Xenopus tropicalis: one gene and its partner. The protein of the gene in region 1 purifies or fractionates together with the protein of each later gene. This does not show direct contact. Links are inferred from orthologs where the notes say so. Each region holds a gene or a part of one and is shown on either strand. Other genes may lie near its edges.

What was found.
Region 2: the proteins of mepce (region 1) and hnrnpul2 purify together in Homo sapiens (affinity purification with mass spectrometry; 3 studies listed by BioGRID and IntAct, with this or other methods). This does not show direct contact. The link is inferred for Xenopus tropicalis from reciprocal best matches to the Homo sapiens genes MEPCE and HNRNPUL2.

Annotation. Positions count from the first base shown.
Region 1 is NC_030679.2:152,333,366-152,337,117, forward strand, and holds the start of mepce (7SK snRNA methylphosphate capping enzyme), read left to right. Parts: upstream 1-1,578; 5' UTR 1,579-1,725; intron 1,726-1,862; 5' UTR 1,863-2,107; coding exon 2,108-3,346; intron 3,347-3,752. UniProt on the Homo sapiens protein: S-adenosyl-L-methionine-dependent methyltransferase that adds a methylphosphate cap at the 5'-end of 7SK snRNA (7SK RNA), leading to stabilize it.
Region 2 is NC_030680.2:34,629,967-34,633,718, reverse strand, and holds the start of hnrnpul2 (heterogeneous nuclear ribonucleoprotein U-like protein 2), read right to left. Parts: upstream 2,578-3,752; 5' UTR 2,488-2,577; exon of another isoform or gene 2,236-2,487; intron 2,217-2,235; exon of another isoform or gene 2,084-2,216; 5' UTR 2,076-2,083; coding exon 1,577-2,075; intron 1-1,576. Other genes in the region: ttc9c (tetratricopeptide repeat protein 9C), read left to right, coding at 2,745-2,810.

The sequences.
Region 1 (3,752 bases):
TCACTATTTATTGGGCTGGGGGGGCTGTTTGTGCCTCTGGGTACTGGGAATGCCAGGGGGGCTGTAAGGTGCCACAGACAGTCACTATTTATTGGGCTGGGGGGCTGTTTGTGCCTCTGGGTACTGGGAATGCCAGGGGGGCTGTAAGGTGCCACAGACAGTCACTATTTATTGGGCTGGGGGGGGGGGCTGTTTGTGCCTCTGGGTACTGGGAATGCCAGGGGGGCTGTAAGGTGCCACAGACAGTCACTATTTATTGGGCTGGGGGGGCTGTTTGTGCCTCTGGGTACTGGGAATGCCAGGGGGGCTGTAAGGTGCCACAGACAGTCACTATTTATTGGGCTGGGGGGGGCTGTTTGTGCCTCTGGGTACTGGGAATGCCAGTACAGGGCTGTGGGTATCGTTGGTGCTGAGGCCGGTATTGCTGGCAGGTATAGTGGGTGGGTACTTCTAGGGGTGCCACCTGGCCAGTATGATGCCTGATGCCAGTGTTATTAATAGGAAAAATAAATAGCGGAAAGCCTTGATTTTTTCTCAGAAAAGGGGGCAACCATCGGCATTTCTGGTAAGTGTGGCGGATCTCTCTGGTAACTAAGGCAGGTATCACTGATAACCATTGCGGCAATTAACTGGTGGATATTGCTGGTAATCAGGGGAACTATAGCAGGTACATGGTGGGTATCTCTACTAACTGTGAAGGCTGTTGCTGATATTTGTTATTATGGCAGATACTAATATTGCTGTGGTAACTATGGTGGGATATGCCGGTATATAATGCAGATACTTGTCACTATGGCGGGGTATAGCCATATAGATTTATTTTTCCAAACCAGCCTGTCAGTTCTAAAACCAGCCCAAAACTAGCCAGAAGCCTCTTTGAAAGTAGCCCAAAAATAGCCCAATGTGCAATGAAAAAAAATCTAAAAATAAAAGTATATATGGGAAAACCTGCCTGTTTAAAGCGAATAATCACTATCTCATACCCTATAGAGTAGGGAGCAGAACATACAGGTTGAGCCTGAAAGAGCAAAAAGGAATAGAAAACAGAGCCTCTGGCTATACTGTCCCATTGCATGCTGGGTATTGTAGTTTTATATTAATCCTAGCTGCAGGCTATTTGTTAGATACAAACTACATTACCCAGCATGCAGTGGAACAAACTTTGGCTTGTTTCCAAACTACAAACCCGCCAACGCTTCAAAAAAATAGCCCAAATCTGTACCTTGGTGGGTTTGTACTCTGGAAACCCGTCAGGGCTCTAAATTAGTAGCCCAATGTGGCGGAAACCCCGCCAACCCTGACTAACCGTGACTAACCTGATAAATATGGCGGATATTTGTAATTATGGCAGATACTAGTATTGCTGGGGTAACTATGGCGGGTTATGCTGGTATAGCTTATACAGATAACTATGGTATAGCTGGGAATCATGCCGAATACTACACTTGGTAACTACGGCGGCTACTGCCGGTAACTGTCGTGAATACTGCATTTCGCGACACTATCGTAGCTCAGCCGGCCCCGCCCCCCAGGTGGCAACGTGCGACGTCATCCCGTTCATGTACACGCAGTGTGAGGCGCACTCTCGCGAGATGAGACTTGGGCGACTGGATTAGTTGTCCGGCAGGAGTGAGGGAGTCAGACGTCGCTCGGCGGTGCGGGAGTGGGAGGCAGGGAGCCGGCGGTGCGGAGAGTGTCCCGGGGAATTGGGGCCGTGCTGCTCAGGTAGGGCCATGAAACACCCGGCTGGGGGGCAATTGTAACATACGGTAGAATTTCGTTGCAGAGTGAGGGGTGCGGGCGGGGTGGGCTCCCCTATGTCTCCCCCTGCACCCCCTCATCTCTCTCTTCTCTCCCTCTAGGCTCCGCCTCTGACTGGGCGCTTCTGCAGGCGAGGAGGAGGAGCAACTGGAAAAGGGGCGTGTCCTGGCTGCCTGGGGGTGTGTGCTTCCAGTTGGGGGTCAGTATGGAGTTGGGGTTCCCCCAGTCACCCGGCCCCTGCAGGAGCCCCGAGGTATAAGCACCCAATAGTATAACAGTGAGGGCGCAGGGAGTTGTTGCTACGGAGAGAGTCGCCCCCCGCCCAGGTTCCGCCGGTGATGCCCCCATGCAGGTTCTGCTAGAGATGGCGGCCACCACGGAAAATCTGCAGCTACCAGGGGCAGCGGGAAGTACAGAGGGGGAGGCTACCACCTTCCTGGCTCCACCCCCTGCCCCGCCCCCGCCCAAAGCAGAACTGCAGCCCAAAGCCACAAAGGAAGGGGCGGAGCAGCAAGCAGCCCCCCGGGGGCCCCGCAATGGCTTCCAGGGGAAGAGGAGGAACAGCTTCAACGTTGGCTTCAAGCACCCGGTTCCGTTCAAGCGGCGCCGGAGGGTCAACTCGGACTGCGATCCGGTCCTGCCCTCCAACTTCCTGCTGGGGGGCAATATATTCGACCCCCTCAACCTGAACAGTCTGCTGGACGAGGACGTGAACCGCACGCTCAACGCCGAGACCCCAAAGTCGTCGCCTCTTCCGTCCCGGAACCGGGATCCAGTGGAGATTCTCATTCCTAAAGACATTACGGATCCGCTGTGCCTCAACGCCAGTTCCGGGGAGCTCCTACTGTCCCCCCTAAAGAGTAGGAAACGGCACCGGCACCGCCACCACCCGCCGACAGATGCACCTTCAAAGGCTCCCGGGGGGCCGGCTCAGGAAGCAGAGCCCGCCCCCGAGGAGCCGCAGCCATACGAACTGAACACGGCGATTAACTGCAGGGACGAGGTGGTGTCTCTGCCCGCGCTGGAGAGTGACCCGGCGGCGCCATCGGCCGGCGCTTCCGCCATATCTGCCTCTCGGCACCGCAAACGGAGAAGGACTTCCAGCAAATCCGAAGGGAAACACGGGAGCCCGGAGAGGAGTAAGAGCCTATTGGCCGAGGGGGCCGCCTTACGGCCGCACTGCCCCAAGTCTCGGGCCAAGGGCAAAACCAGATTCCAGTATGGGAACTATTGCCGTTACTATGGTTACCGGAACCCCAGCCAATCGGAGGACCCCCGCCTTCGTGCGCTGAAGCCAGAATGGTTTAGGGGGAAGGCAGTGTTGGACATTGGCTGCAATGTGGGTCACGTGACTCTGTGTGTGGCCAAGAACATGGGGCCCTCGCGTGTGGTGGGACTGGACATTGACAGGTCCCTAATAACCGCCGCGCGCCAGAACATTCGCCATTACCTGTCGGGAGAGACAAAGAGAGACGGTGGCTTTCCGGCCGGACTGGTCGCCACTCGGGGGCCCATCGCTGCCCCATCACTGCCCCCAACAGGCGGAGAAGGGAACGGCTTCCCACACAATGTGGTGTTTGTGCAGGTGAGACAGTCTGAGCGACTCCCCGAGATGTGACACCCCTGCACCCCCACCTTCTGCCTACCCGCACCCCCATCTTCTGCCTCCCTGCACCCCCACCTTCTGCCTCCCTGCACCCCCACCTTCTGCCTCCCTGCACCCCCACATTCTGCCTCCCTGCACCCCCACATTCTGCCTCCCTGCACCCCCACATTCTGCCTCCCTGCACCCCCACATTCTGCCTCCCTGCACCCCCACATTCTGCCTCCCTGCACCCCCACATTCTGCCTCCCTGCACCCCCACATTCTGCCTCCCTGCACCCCCACCTTCTGCCTACCCGCACCCCCACATTCTGCCTCCCTGCACCCCCACATTCTGCCTCCCTGCACCCCCACATTCTGCCTCCCTGCACCCCCACATTCTGCCTCC
Region 2 (3,752 bases), on another chromosome or scaffold:
TGGTAAATTAGGGCTTTATCCACTAGAACATGTGAAACTGAATTTCTTTGCTATGCAATTTCTCACTGTATGAATATTCTCCTGCAAAGGAGGAACTTCATTTGCTCTTAAAATCCAAACCCTTTAAGTGGCCATACACTTGCTGTTCTTCACTGGTATCCAGCTCACGTGGGGGAAGCCAAATGGCTGGATAGGTTACGATTGACTCTTCACGTGTATGGCCGCTTTTCTATTGCTTTACTTGTTCTGGCCAATAACCCTAGAGCTGGGCGGTATGACCAAAAATTTATATCACGGTATTTTTCAAAATTATATCGGTGTCACGGTATTTGACTGTATTTTTTTTTTCCATGCATGATTAGGTGTTAACCCCATTTCCTAATAAATTAGAGAATAATTACTGCAGTATTGAAAATCAGAGTCAGGCAAGCAAAGGATCGGCAACAGAAAGTCGTAAGATAAATCAGGCAGGCTTAGTTTCCCAGGCAAGGCCGCAGACAACATAGCACAGGAGGAGGCGTTTGATAGCTTTAAAGGAACAGTAACACCAAAAAATTAAAGTGTATAAAAGTAACTAAAATATAATGTGCTGCTGCCCTGCACTGGTAAAAGTTGTGTGTTTACTTCAGAAAGTCTACTATAATTTATATAAATAAGCTGCTATGTAGCCATGGGGGCAGCCATTCAAAGGAGAAAAGGCACAGGCACATAGTAGATAACAGATAAAACACTATTGTATTCTATAGAACTTATCTGTTATCTGCTATGTAACCTGTGCCTTTTCTCCTTTTTTCCAGCTTGAATGGCTGCCCCCGTGGCTACACAGCAGCTTATTATATAAATTATAGTAGTGTTACTGTAGCAAACACACCAGTTTTACCAGTGCAGGGCAACAGTGCATTATATTTTTATTACTTTAAAGCTCTTTCATTTTTTGGTGTTACTGTTCCTTTAAATACCCCCCCACGCATGCACAGAACCGGCGCCGTCAGCGTGTTGCGGACGTGCACGCTTTGACATGTACGTGCGCACCTGGACGCGCATGCGCAACGTCCCGCAGACAACGGGACGCGCGCACGCAAGGAGGCGCGCGAGACCGGGCCGCACGGGTGAGTACCCTGACACCCCGGTATTGCGGTATCTGAAAAATGAATATAATTTTTTTAAAAAAACCCACTGGTGTTCGGTATTAAACGGTATATCGCCCAGCCCTAAATAACCCCACTGACTGGAACTACCATGCCACCATGGTGCATCAGCACATAAAATGTTTAAATATTTCACATTACAAACACAAGGAGATTGACGGCAGTTTTGTCCAAATGAGCCAAACTGCTTAACCAAATCTGGGCATAAATGACCAGCTTAAACATGATAAGAGGAAACCACTGTATCTCTAAAATCCTAGGAAAATCAGCTCTGCTCTTGTTTACCCCACAAGTATACTGTTCTCCAGAGTGTGAAAAGCAGAGACAGTTTATAAGACTCAGCTACCACAACATTTTCTAGGTCCTTATACAGAATAAAAGGAAGGACGGAATTTGAAAGATCTAAGTGAACCATTATTTGGACCTACCCGTTTCAGATTTTTCTTCGTCCCCACACTCCTCTGCAACCGAGTCCCCTGGGTCTGTTTTTGAAGCTGCTCCATTTAGGGATTCGACCCCCATATCAGATTCCTCCTCTTCTACAACAGGAGGGGGTTCTATTTTCTCAGCCTGTGAGTCAGTCTCCTCTTCAAGTTGTTTCTTTACAGGTACAGCATCATTTTCCTGGGCTGCCACTGCTTCCACCTCATTTGGATTAAAATCTTCCTCCTCATCCTCCTGACCTTCATGTAGCATCTCCTCTTCATCCTCTTCGTCCCCTAGTTCCAGAGCCAGCTCTTCATCACCCCCAGCCATTTCCTGTATAAAAGCCCCTTTCTCTTCATCGCCCCCTAGGAGTTCAGAATCGAGAGCTTCCTGCAACCTCTCGCACAGCTCTGCTTTTAATCCACGGCTCTCCAGGCCTCTGCGTTGCAGCTCAGCCCGCAGCTCAGTCACTTTCATCCTCCGTGGATCCAGGCCGCTCATCCTCAGTTCTGATTAAGAAGACAGAGAAACAAAGCGGAAATTATCTACAGGAAGCGGAAAAGTGAGCCCTAACCGGAAGTAGATCAGGAAGAAACACTAAGGCGGAAGCTTGAGAGGATAAAAGAGAAAGATTTTTTTACAGTGAGTGGATCCCAGCTACCTGTTATGGTGCGAAAGGGAGGCCAATCAGGGACTCTTTTTTTTGTGCGCGCTTACGAGGTGATCCAATCGTCGAGCGGCCTCGCTTGCAGTAAAGATGACGTTCCCAGGTGGGCTGCGGCCAAAAAAATATATTAAACTTACGCAGCACGTCCAACTTGTTGCAGGACCTCGGTAAAGCGCTCGTTTTCCTCCCTGACACAAACTGGCCGCCACTGCAAAAGACACAACCGCTTACAGCGCTGAACCCCACCTGTGTGACGTGCGTCGCTCCGATTGGTCTACCCGGCAAGGTTTTGTTCCGCCTTAGTGACGTGGCAGGTCCTGGTTGGCTTTAATTGAGGGAAAGACCTGTCTCCCGCAGGCGCTGGTTATCATTTGCTCCAGTGGGCCGCTATCGCCTCTCTCCTAATTGGCTAGCCTGTGATGGCTGCTAAGTTACCCGCTGCTTCGCCCTTTTCATTCTAAAGAAAAATAAACAGTGACGTTTTGTGTTCTGATTGGCGAATTATGATAAGCACGTGGCTCCGTATTACTCGCAGAACTACAACTCCCAGAATCCAACGGGACTCCCAGGTTGTTAAATATGTCTGGGAGTTGTAGTTTAGTCACTCAGTGAGGTCGTGTATTGTCTTAGCTTTACAAAGAAATAGTGTTTCAGCGTATTAAAATGCTGTTTATAGTTTACATTTAGCAGTCGTTATTCAGTTTACAAATAGTAAATCGCGTTAGCATTTTTTTCTTTTCAGACATGCCGTCTTACGGGGAGGGGACGCATCGGCGCTTTCAATTATCTTAATGCTATACAATTACCGGATAATTACTTTAGTGTAATTTTTCTGTGCAAGTAACTTTGTGACCAGAAGTAATAATTGCTCGTCTTAAATTTGTCATATTATCATCAGTTTAGTCCTTGCAAACCATTTTGTTTTGCTAAATCGCGTATAAGTAAAGTTAGTTGCAGTGCGCGTCACGTGACACTGGCTACGGCGGCTTCATAGTTGTGGGCGGAGTCTGGAAGCAGGAAGTAACATGCAGCAGGGTGTGAATTATGGCTGAGCAGGTAGATTCTCGTTTCTTATGCCAAGAGACTTGTGTGCACAGCGTATATGTTTGCACACTGTTCATGTATTAATTATAATTGGTAGGGATTGCCCCAGATAGAGAGATTCTGTGGCTGATAAGTTCAGCTGCATTGCAACCAAGCACATGTTGTATGTTCACTAATCTTACGTAAGTCTATTGTAAAGGTTTACATTCTATTTAAAAGGGGAGCAGATATGAAGGCCTGGGTCAGTCTGTACTGATTTTTTTTATTTGATAGTCGTATATGTATTATAAAAATAAATAACATTATTAAGTTAACCAGAATGCCAGCATTCTCCTACAGCAGCAGGATACGTGTAGTTCAGCAAAGGCTGCAGGTTGGGGCACCAGGTTTCAATGCTGACACATTTCTGCATCATCTAGGATTTGTGTCTGTATGTGAGACCCCTTCCTATCAGTCTATCCCACATC